Canis lupus familiaris: one gene and its partners. The protein of the gene in region 2 interacts with the protein of the main gene of each other region in a biochemical or structural test. Links are inferred from orthologs where the notes say so. Each region holds a gene or a part of one and is shown on either strand. Other genes may lie near its edges.

Evidence for each region.
Region 1: the proteins of BCL2L1 (region 2) and PMAIP1 interact in a biophysical measurement, tested with the Homo sapiens proteins (3 studies listed by BioGRID and IntAct, with this or other methods). The link is inferred for Canis lupus familiaris from reciprocal best matches to the Homo sapiens genes BCL2L1 and PMAIP1.
Region 3: the proteins of BCL2L1 (region 2) and BIK interact in a test that uses a peptide from one of them, tested with the Homo sapiens proteins (3 studies listed by BioGRID and IntAct, with this or other methods). The link is inferred for Canis lupus familiaris from reciprocal best matches to the Homo sapiens genes BCL2L1 and BIK.

The regions. Positions count from the first base shown.
Region 1 is NC_049222.1:16,559,466-16,563,116, reverse strand, and holds the start of PMAIP1 (phorbol-12-myristate-13-acetate-induced protein 1), read left to right. Parts: upstream 1-848; 5' UTR 849-850; coding exon 851-908; intron 909-3,651. UniProt on the Homo sapiens protein: Promotes activation of caspases and apoptosis. Promotes mitochondrial membrane changes and efflux of apoptogenic proteins from the mitochondria. Contributes to p53/TP53-dependent apoptosis after radiation exposure. Promotes proteasomal degradation of MCL1.
Region 2 is NC_049245.1:21,645,018-21,648,589, forward strand, and holds the end of BCL2L1 (bcl-2-like protein 1), read right to left. Parts: intron 2,162-3,572; coding exon 2,024-2,161; 3' UTR 2,000-2,023; intron 597-1,999; 3' UTR 510-596; downstream 1-509. UniProt on the Homo sapiens protein: Potent inhibitor of cell death. Inhibits activation of caspases. Appears to regulate cell death by blocking the voltage-dependent anion channel (VDAC) by binding to it and preventing the release of the caspase activator, CYC1, from the mitochondrial membrane.
Region 3 is NC_049231.1:23,388,765-23,392,435, reverse strand, and holds the start of BIK (bcl-2-interacting killer), read left to right. Parts: upstream 1-783; 5' UTR 784-863; intron 864-3,671.

The DNA of each region.
Region 1 (3,651 bases), on a different chromosome or scaffold from region 2:
GCCCTCGCCCCTCCCCCGCCTCTACACACACACTCACACTCACACTCACTCTCACACTCACACGTCCCACCTCCCAAGTCAAACCGCCGTTTGCTGGCCGGCTCCAGGGTTTCAATGTGGTACTTTCGTCACGTGCCCCTGGCATCCTCTTTACTGTTATGGACGTTTTCTCCATTTCAAGCCCCGCAGCCACCCGTTCCCTCCGAGTCCCAGCTCTCCTTTGCTGCTCTCTTTCCGGGACCTGCCCTGGGTCTCTAATTGCCGGTTACGATAAGGACCCAGCGCCCTGCCCGCACCTCCACCGCCTTCCCGCTAGGAGGGCCTGCCCGGCTCGCGGCTTCCCGACTCCGCCACCGCCGCAGCTGTCCCGGGGGGGGGGGGGGCGGGGGGGCGGGGGGGGCCCCCCGCCGGGATCCCCCCCCCCCCGGGTCCCGGCCCGCGGGGGAAGGCAGGGGCTGCGGAGCGGGAGGGTCCACGGGCCCGGGCAGGTCGCCCCGCAGCGACCTCGGGGGCGGGGCGGGGGCGGGGGCAGGGGCGGGCGCAGAGCCAAGTTTCGCCGCGTCACGGTCCCCGGGGCCGCCCTATAAGAGGAGGGCGCCGGCGCGCGAACGCGCAAAGCGAGCAGCGAGCGGCGAGCGGCGAGCGGCGAGCGGCGACCGGAGCGGCCCCTCGGGTCCTGCCAGCGGTGCCCGTGCTGGTCCCGAGCTGCCCGTGCTGGTCCCGCGGTGCCCGTGCTGGTCCCGAGCCGCCCGTGCTGGTCCCGCGGTGCCCGTGCTGGTCCCGAGCTGCCCGTGCTGGTCCCCAGGCCCAGGGCGTCGTGCGCTGCAGCTCCCCGCGGCCGCCGGCGGAGATGCCCGGCCGGAAGGCGCGCAAGAGCGCGCAGCCCGGCCCCACGCGGGCCCCCGAAGGTGAGGAGCCGCCGGGCCCCGGGGCTTCCCAGGCTGGTGGAGGCGTCGGGGGACGCGGGTCGGGAGGGCGGCGGCGGCGGGGCAGGTCTCCCGCGCGATGCGTCGCGGCCCGGCCCCGCCCGGGGGAGGGAAAGTGCAGGGGCGCGCAGGCCGCCGCGGGGAGGCTGCGCGCGGGGGAGGCTCCGGGAGCTGTCCGGGCCCTGGCGCCCCCGGAGCCGGCCTCTGCCTCCGCAGGGGGGCCGGGGCTCGCTCTGAGGGTTGCCGCCCTCGGGCCCCCGCCGAGCAGTAGGCTGGATCCTCCCTTCCGCGGAGGACTGGTGGAGGTCAGGGAGGCCAGGACGGCGGGGGTCCTGGGGAGTTAGGGAGGCCGGGACGATGGAGGCCCTGGGGAGTTAGGGAGGCGAGGACGATGGAGGTCCTGGGGAGTTAGGGAGGCCGGGACGATGGAGGTCCTGGGGAGTTAGGGAGGCCGGGACGATGGAGGTCCTGGGGAGTTAGGGAGGCGAGGACGATGGAGGTCCTGGGGAGTTAGGGAGGCCGGGACGATGGAGGCCCTGGGGAATTAGGGAGGCGAGGACGATGGGACGATGGAGGTCCTGGGGAGTTAGGGAGGCGAGGACGATGGAGGTCCTGGGGAGTTAGGGAGGCCGGGACGATGGAGGTCCTGGGGAGTTAGGGAGGCGAGGACGATGGGACGATGGAGGTCCTGGGGAGTTAGGGAGGCGAGGACGATGGAGGCCCTGGGGAGTTAGGGAGGCGAGGACGATGGAGGTCCTGGGGAGTTAGGGAGGCCGGGACGATGGAGGCCCTGGGGAATTAGGGAGGCGAGGACGATGGGACGATGGAGGTCCTGGGGAGTTAGGGAGGCGAGGACGATGGAGGTCCTGGGGAGTTAGGGAGGCCGGGACGATGGAGGTCCTGGGGAGTTAGGGAGGCGAGGACGATGGAGGTCCTGGGGAGTTAGGGAGGCCGGGACGATGGAGGTCCTGGGGAGTTAGGGAGGCGAGGACGATGGAGGTCCTGGGGAGTTAGGGAGGCGAGGACGATGGGACGATGGAGGTCCTGGGGAGTTAGGGAGGCGAGGACGATGGGACGATGGAGGTCCTGGGGAGTTAGGGAGGCGAGGACGATGGGACGATGGAGGTCCTGGGGAGTTAGGGAGGCGAGGACGATGGAGGCCCTGGGGAGTTAGGGAGGCCGGGACGATGGAGGTCCTGGGGAGTTAGGGAAGCGAGGACGATGGAGGTCCTGGGGAGTTAGGGAAGTGCGGACAGGCGGTCCTGGAGAGTTACAGCGGTACCGGAGAGTAGTTCTGTTTCTTAAGTCGTTAGTAGTTGCAGAAATGAGAGTTGGTCTCCAGGGCTTTGTAATCCATCCACTGTCCTCCTCCCTCGATATAACCCTCCCCCCTTATAAATCTTACCAAATAAGGCAGCTATCTGCTAGGGGGGTGGGTGGGCAGTAGCGGTGCATATTGCATCAGATAGTAATGGTCCCTTTAGTTTATTAATTTATTTGAGAGAGCACAAGCAGGGGGAGGGGCAGAGGGAGAAGCAGACCCCTGGTTGAGCCAGGAGCCCTACTTGGGCCTCGATCCCACGCCCCTGAGATCATGACCTGAGCCAAAAGCAGAGGGTTAACCAACTGAGCCACCTAAGCGCCCTACACTTAGTTTCGTTTCACAGAGTCCTTGAGGAGTGCAGAGGAAGTGATGCATTGACAATCTGGCCCTGACTAAGTTGGCACCCCGTGGCTCCTACTTGGGAGGCAAAAAGCTTCGCCCACCTTTTGTGATGTTAAAGAATTCTGCAGTTTGGGGAAGGCCTAACCTGAGCATTTATCTTTGTTCATAATAATACAGTACAGCAGAAAGGGACCTCTTATATTCCATTAGGTAGTAATACTTTCTTTTTTCTTTTACTGAGATGTGACATATCACATTGCATTAGCTTTGATTTATGTATGCATCAAATAATGATGATTTCGTATGTGTATATTGTGTGATTGCCAAATAGGTTTGCTTAACATCTCACCTCATGTAGTGTCAGTTTTTTATTACTACATTTATAGAAATATAATTAACAGAAAGATTAAGGAGACCACCAGCAGCTAGTTCTGTCCACAACCCCCCCCCCCCCACCGCCCTTTTAGTGACAGATCATGTTTTCTCCTAAAGCCCCCTCGGAAGACAGGAGGGAGGGGGGAGGGAGGGAGGAGGGCTGGAGGGAGGGAGGAGGGAGAGGAGTAGGGAGGGAGTGACGTGAGGGACGGAAGGAGGAAGGAAGGAAGGAAGGACGAAGAAGGACGTAACAGAATTACGTCCTGTCCTTAACTTCCGTCTCCTTCCTTCTTTCTTTCTTCTTTCTTTCTTTCTTTCTTTCTTTCTTTCTTTCTTTCTTTTCTTTCTCTCTTTCTTTCTTTCTTTCTTTTTCTTTCTTTTTTGGAATCCTTTTTCTTAAATTAATATTCATTTAATTACAACATCTCACTTCTAAAAAGCAGTAAACTTGTAAATTAAAATTCTTCTGCTTCACTCATAAAGGCAATGGATTGGTACGAATTCGGTTTGTAGGAAGAAATTGGTTTAATTGGCAAATATAAATTGCTAAGGTATTTTAGAGAATGTAGACTTACTTTTGCTACAAGGTTTTATGAGTCTTATGAGAAAATTTCAGTCTTTTTCAATGAGTGTAAGAGCACGTTTAGATTTGTCTATGAATGAAGGCATAGTCTGAGCTGTGAA
Region 2 (3,572 bases):
TCCTATCTCCTTCCCCACTAGGTCCTTCATAAGTCTTGTCCTTCTTCCTTATGGTCATTTAGCTTCTACCTTTGCCCTCCAACAGCCAGACTGTCTCATCCTTATATTTTGTCTGTCTCCCAAGAATGCGAGTTCCATAAAGGAAGGGCTTTGTTCACTGTAGAATCCCCAGTGCCTAGGAGTGTGCCTGGGCAGAGCAGGACTCAGTAAACACTTGCCAAGTGGCTGTTTTTTCTCCTAGAATGTCAGTTCCTGAGGGCAGAGACTGTGTCCATCCATCCATCCTGCTCCCACATACCCATTGCTTAGCACACAGCAGGTGTTCAATAAAACCCCCATCAAAGAATAGGTGGAGAAATTCAGGCCCAGGTGGAAGAAGGGACTTGTCCAAGGCCCTCTCCTGAAGGCAGCAGAGCCAGCAGTGATGCGCAGCTCCCCTGCAGCCCTGTTGCCAACCGCACAGCCCCTCCTTCCCCAGCCCAGGGCACACAAGAGCCCAGGCCCTTTGCTCACTGAGTCAACACAGTTTATTACTGAACTGCACTTTCACCTTCACACAGACTATTTCAAAGAGCTGGAACAAGTGTGGGGGGGAGTTGGGGGGGGGGACAGGTGCCCCTTAGGAGCCAGGACCCCCAGCTGGCTTCCCCAGACCAGGGCAGGGGAGGGAGCATCAGGCCGTTCAGTCTCCGGGCACCAGCTCTCCACGTGCACACGCACAGCAAGCCAGCAGCTCCTCACACATAAATACAGACACGCTTAACAAAAATAGTATATCATCTTCACAAGGAATAAAAACTAGTCTCAAATATGTACAGCAGAGAGCCCAGGATGGCCAGGGATAGGCCGGGACCCCCAGGGATGAGACAGGCCATGGGTGGAGTAGAGGAGAGGGAGGCCTGAAGGACTCCTGGCCAGGCCACTCTGACCTTGGCAGCCTGGCACCCCAGGCTGAATGGGAGTGGGGCATATATTTGTTTGGCCAGGTAGGTCTGGCCCCTCTTGCCACCCCCACCTCCACCCTGTGCATCAGGGTCTCCTTCCTGCCCTTCCTGCCTGAGGTAGGGAAGACTCTAGGGCTCCCACAGCTGCTCCCTGTAGCTCCCCTTCACCTCTGGGCCAAGGCCCCCGAATCCCTGGGCTCCATGGGCAAGTAGCTCCAGGCAAAGATGCCACACGCTGATCTTCTTGCAGGAAAGTCAGGCAGCTGAAGCCATCAACAGCTCTGGGGCACCTGCCTTGAGCCCAGTTGGTCCCTTAGTCATGGTCATGGGAGCCAAGGGAGGGGAAGGGGAAAGGAACTGGGGTGGTGCTAAACTGCAAGGGCCACCCCAGCTTTGGCACGGGGTGCTTCCTGCAGCTACAGCCCTCTTCCTCCTGGGTGGGGCTGGCCTCTATCCAGGGGCCTTTGGAGGACATTGGGATTGGGGTCAAGGACTTTGGCCAGGCCAGAGGTGGGGAGGAGGTCCTGGTCCTTGTTTCTTTATCCCAAGCAGCTTGAATCCCTAATTAGTCAGAAGTGGCCCCTAAGTGGCTCTTGAAAGGGATGAAAGGAAGGGGAGCCTAGGTTCTGGAAGGGATAGGAAATGATTAATTTTGAGGCCACAAACATCAAAACGAAGGCAATCTAGTCTCTCCTTCTGGGGAAAAAGGTCAGAAACTTTCCAGCTACCTGGCAGGAAAGCATTCTTGGTGAGGCTAAGGGGTTTTCCACCAATTAGGCAGGGACTCCAGCCCCCAGCCACAAACACCCCCACACCTGCCAGCTTCCATGGGGCAGATTTTGGGGAAACCTTGTGGGTTCTGAGGCCAGAGAACTGAGGTGTGGGGAAGGCGGCTCTCACAGAAGCGTGGTAGATTCTAGAAAACTAATTGCGGGAGACCTGGTCTATGCCCAACCCTGTGATGGGAAGGTGGCCGTAGGCTGCATGTAGTGGTTCTCCTGGTGGCAATGGTGGCTGGACAAAGGGGTGTGGTAGGGGCAGGACAGGGGTGGGAGGGTAAGTGGGTGGTCAGTGTCTGGTCATTTCCGACTGAAGAGCGAGCCCAGCAGAACCACGCCAGCCACAGTCATGCCTGTCAGGAACCAGCGGTTGAAGCGCTCCTGGCCCTTCCGGCTCTCGGCTGCTGCATTGTTCCCGTAGAGTTCCACAAAAGTATCCTGCAGGGATAGAGAAGAGAAAGGATGGTGTTGTTTGAGTTCTATGACAATAATATGGGTGGGTGGGTGGGAGAAGGGGCCACCTGCATGCAATAGTGATTTGAAAAACTATAGCCATCCATGCCCACTCTGGGCCAAGTAAAGGGTTCATGGCTGCCCTCCTTCTTGCCGCCCAGCTGGGGATGACCAATGCACTTTATAGCTGACATAAGGGTGCAAAGCTGGGAAGAGCTTTGTTCAAGGTGAACTGGCTAAAAAGTCATACTGGAGAACCTGCATCAGGAAAGAGATCAGCAGGGGCAGGGAAGTAACAGGAGGCTAGGTGGCTGGAGTGCAGGGCTGGAGAGAAAGGGATGGGGAGACACCATGAGCCACAGCTGGTCCATGAGTGGTCTAGAAGCTGAGGAGGAGGGTGGAGTCTGTGCATAGTGCACACCCACTAGGCCTTAGCTTTCCTGCTGATGCACCAATGCAACTAAGAGAGGGAGGGAGGGAGAGGGGACAGGGCTAAATTCCCAGCGATTCAGGGGAAGGCCAGGTACTATTGGCCCGAGGCTCCTTCTCCCTCTGGAGAAGGGAGGGGAGGCTGGTGGGTAGACACTGAGGGCAGAGTAGAGGGATACCTTCTACATGCCGGCCTAGGATGGGATCTGTGAAGCCCTGTCGCTGTCCCCCACCCCCTGGTGTGTGTGTGTGTGTGTGTATGTGTGTGAGAGAGAGAGAGAGAGAGAGAGAGAGAGAGAGACACACACACACACTCTGGGCCCAGAAGGAGGTGAGCAACAGCCCTTAGCAGTCAGGAGGGAAGCACATGATATGGGGAAGGTGGGGCTGTGGGTTAAATTACCCACCCCGGGGCGGAGCCAGCGTGTGGGGCACCCTTTAATGAGTAAACTTTGCACCCCATTTGTCCTGTAATCCTCTCAGTGATGCTGCAGTGCAGGCCCTCTCTCCCCATTTACAGACTGGAGCCTCTGGGCCTAGGGAGTATGCGTGTTTAGTGTGAATGGATTACCGATGAATGAACAGAGCCCATGATTTTCCTCTCCACTAAGAGCTCACAGCCTGGGCCCTCATTTCCACCTGGTCCCAACTGGCAGTGGTGGCTGCTCCCTCAGACAACACCTGCCATCTCCAGCTGGTTCCAAGTTCCACCAGGCCAGTTTGCTCACTGTGAGTGAGACCTGCCTGGCCTTACTTCTGGTCTTGATAACCTTGCTCAGTCCATGCTCCATATGGAGGATTTTTAAAAACATAGATCAGATCATGGCACTTAAAGTCCTCCAACAGCTTTCCCTTGAACTTAGAACGCTGGTGTCATTTCTGCTCACATCCCTGGTACCTAGCAGAGTGCCATGAGCATTGAACTGCCAAGATGACTCATATACTTCTCAATATTTATTAAGCCATT
Region 3 (3,671 bases), on a different chromosome or scaffold from region 2:
AAATATATGTATATAGGGGATCCCTGGGTGGCTCAGCGGTTCAGCACCGCCTTTGGCCCAGGCGTGATCCTGGAGACCCAGGGTCGAGTCCCACATCGGGCTCCCGGCATGGAGCCTGCTTCTCCCTCTGCCTGTGTCTCTGCCTCTCTCTGTGTCTCTCATGAATAAGTAAATAAAGTATTTAAAATATATAAAAAATATGTATATATATATATGTATATATACATATATCTATTTTAAGTCATTTCTACATCCAAAGTAGGGTTCGAAACCATGACCAGAACAGCGAGAGTCGCGAGTCGTAGGCTCCACCCACTAAGCCAGCCGGTCGCCCCAGGAATGGGGAGTTTTTATAGTTTGTTTTCACAAGATGGAATCACAGAGATGGGAGGTGGCGACCGTTGCACATTATGCAGGCGCTGAACACCACTGAGCGGCACACTTAAAACTGGTTGATACGGTAAATCGTGTCGTGTGTATTTCACCACAATAAAGAAAATTGAGAAAAACAAAACAAAACCTAACTCCCGAAGCTGCTAGCACCGAGAGCATGACGGGGGGGGGGGGGTCCCCGCTGTCGCTGGGTCCTCTCCGACGCCCAGTTTCCACATTGGTGAAATGGCCTGGACCAAAGCCCCGGGCGGTCGGGACCCGCTCGGACGGCGAATGGGACCACCCGCCTGGAGACCCTGGCCACGGAGCGCACGGCGGCGGCGGCGGCGGCGGCGAGCCCGGGTCGGGGATCGGGCTGGGGGCGGGGAGGCGGCCGGGGGCGGGCCCGAGCGCGACCGGCGGTTTATAAGCTCGCGCGCCCGCGGCGGCCGCACACAGTCGCGTCCCGGCTCCAGCGCCCCGGACCCGCGGTGAGTCCAGGTCCCGCCGCCGCCCTGCACCCCGCGCCCTGCGCCCCGCGCCCTGCGCCCCGCGCCCCTCACCCGCTGCCCTGCGGCCCCGCTGCCCCGCTGCCCCGCGCCCCTGCACCCCGCGCCCCCGCGCCCAGCCCGGTAGATGGGCGCCCAGGGTGCCGAGCGGGGGCTGCTTAGGGACCTGTGCCCAGGTGGTTCCGTCCCGGGCCGCTGTTGGGTGTGTCACTCCCGGGACCCCCGGCTCCGAGACGCCCCCTGTCCGGCGGGGCGTCCAGGTCCCCGCCTGCGAGGGTCCCGGCCGCGGCGCCCCCGGGCCCTCCGTCCCCGCATCCGCGTAATGGGGCGCCCCCCCCCGCGCCGCCATCGGCTCCGGCTCCGGCTCCCGCCCCCGCGGGGGAGGGGGTCCCCCCGCCGAAACCGGGAAGATGGCCCCGGGGCGCCCCGAGTGGCCGCGCACCTGCGAAGGGCCGGGAGAGGCTCCGGCGCGGGCGGCGGGGGCGCCCGGAACAGGAACTGCGCGGCGAGCGGGGCGCGGCCGCCGCCCGCACCTGCCCCTGCCCCGGCCCCGGCCCCGGCTCCAGCCCCGCGCAGGTGCGCCCCGCCTCGCCCTGCAAACCCGCCGCAGCGGCCGCGGGCGCGTCCCTCCCGCGACCCCGAGGGCTCCCGCCGCCGAGCCCCGCGCCGCCGAACCCGCCGGCCGCCTGGGCGCCAAACCGCCGTGTTGCCGTGGGTCGTTGGTCGTCAGTGTAGTTTTGGCTGGAATGAGCCGCCCCGGGGGGCGCCGCTGCACATCACCCCGCCCCGCACCCACTGTGGCCCGGCCCCGATCGGGCCTGCTCCCCGAGGCTTCGCCCGCTCCCCAGGAAGGGAGGGTTGTGAGCCGCATCCTGGCCCTCTCCGGAGACTGGAGGCTTCGTTTCACAGGTGGTCAAAGTGAGACTCGCTTCCAGGAGGAGGCCGCCTAGACGCCGGCAAACCAAGAGCCCGGAGCTGTTTTCTGGGAGCGCGGCCAAAGCTCTCCACCCAGCCACTGTCCAGCTGTGTTGTCCTACAGGGGCTGCTCCCGCCTCTGGGCCTCAGTTTGCTCATTCCTTAGAATGGGTCCATGAGGTCCCCACCAGCTGTGAACACCCACTTGGTGTTGGTGGCTCTTCAGTGGCTTCCCTCAGCGCAAATGCTTTAACCTTGTGTCTGCTTCTCTTGGGCATGTTTTTGGGGTAACGTCTTGGCAGTGGCACCTTTCAGGAGTTGATTGGTGTGGTTTTTGCACTAGTTCCCTAAGTGGTCTGTCTCAGGCGATGGCTGGGCGGGGACTCCAGCCTCAGCGCTGGTTGTTGGTGCTGCCCTTGCCCACAGCTTGGCCTCTCCTCCACCCTTCCCTTCCCGCTCCAGGATTTGGGGATTTCCCACCATTTGAACCTCAAGGTCACAGGGCTGTCACTGCCGGCTTTAGCTGTGGGGTAGGGCTCTTACCAGCGTCAATGCTCTACAAATTTCTTTATGCTTGTTTTTGGTTTGAAGTGTCTAAAGCACCTGGGGAGACTGGCTTCCAGGATGTGGCTGTTCAGTCAGTGCCTCAGAATGTGCCCCCCCCCACCACAGGGGAATCCTATTTAATCAACCTTCTAAGATGGTTGCCAGGCGATTTGGGGTGGTGGTGGTGGTAGGGTGGGAACTGTGTCAGCAAGGGTGTTTCTCCAAGCCCCAGGGATCCCGTGAGGCCTAAAACAAATGGAGTGATGCACTTAGCACCGTCCCTGCGGGTGTCATCCTTCCCTGGCTCCGTTGGCTTGCTTGCCTCCTCTGAGAAGTCTTCCCTGACTACCTCCTCTATAAAGGTGCAGCCCATCCTCTGTGCAAGGAACTCATTGTACTGTTTCAGGACACTGGAGACAGATTGAAATTACCCATTTGTGCTCACTTAGCATGACGCTCGCCTGCAGCTCCATGAGGACCATAGGACCTATGTCACACTCAGCGGAGTATCCCCAGCAGGTGGCACAGCCAGGGCCCACTGGGAAGAGGCTGGACGGAGGGTTGCATGCCTGTTACATACCCCAAGTTTCACAAGGCGGTTGGCAGGTATAAAAGCTGGATTTGCTGAGCTGCAGAGAAACCAAGAGAGCAGCATTAGCCCGTTCTTTTCCTCTCCTGCTGGGCTAGGTTGTGGAAGGGGGTGCTCGGAGGATGGCTCCATCCGCTGGTTGGGTCTCCACGCTGACCTCGGAGGTATTTTCCCCTCTCCCTGGAAAGCATCCTGTTTGTAGTGGACCTATTAAGTTTGTAGACAATTAATGGTTTCTTGCTTCCCCTGCCTCGAACATAGTGGATCCCACGAGAGTCCGGCTGTTTTTTTCTCTCGGCTCAGAACAATTCCAAGAGGTTTCAAGGAAGTTGCCGGCACGCTCGGGTTTTGTTGTTGGCAGCCACCAGGAAGCCTGCAGTGGGTCCAGAGTGGACATGTGGAGCCGCTCCCTGGTCTCTTTGTCCTGCTGCTGGTTGGCCGGGGCCAGGCCCTGGGAGAAATACAGAATGTAAGCAAATGAGGCCACGGCCCCCAGTTCCTCGTTGGCATTGAGGCTGGCAGCAGAGAGGCCAGGGCTGGTGGTCAGCGCCCTGAGGCGGGCTTGGAGAGGACAGCTGATTTTCCTAGTGTCAATATTAGGATGTGACAATACAAAACACCCGCTGGGCCTTGCCGGGCACTGCATGGGTAAACCTGTTTTTCTGGAGGTGGGCGAAGATGGCCTGTCACCCAGACTGAGAGGAAGCACGGGCTCTAGAGCCCAGAGCAGCCCCCCTGGC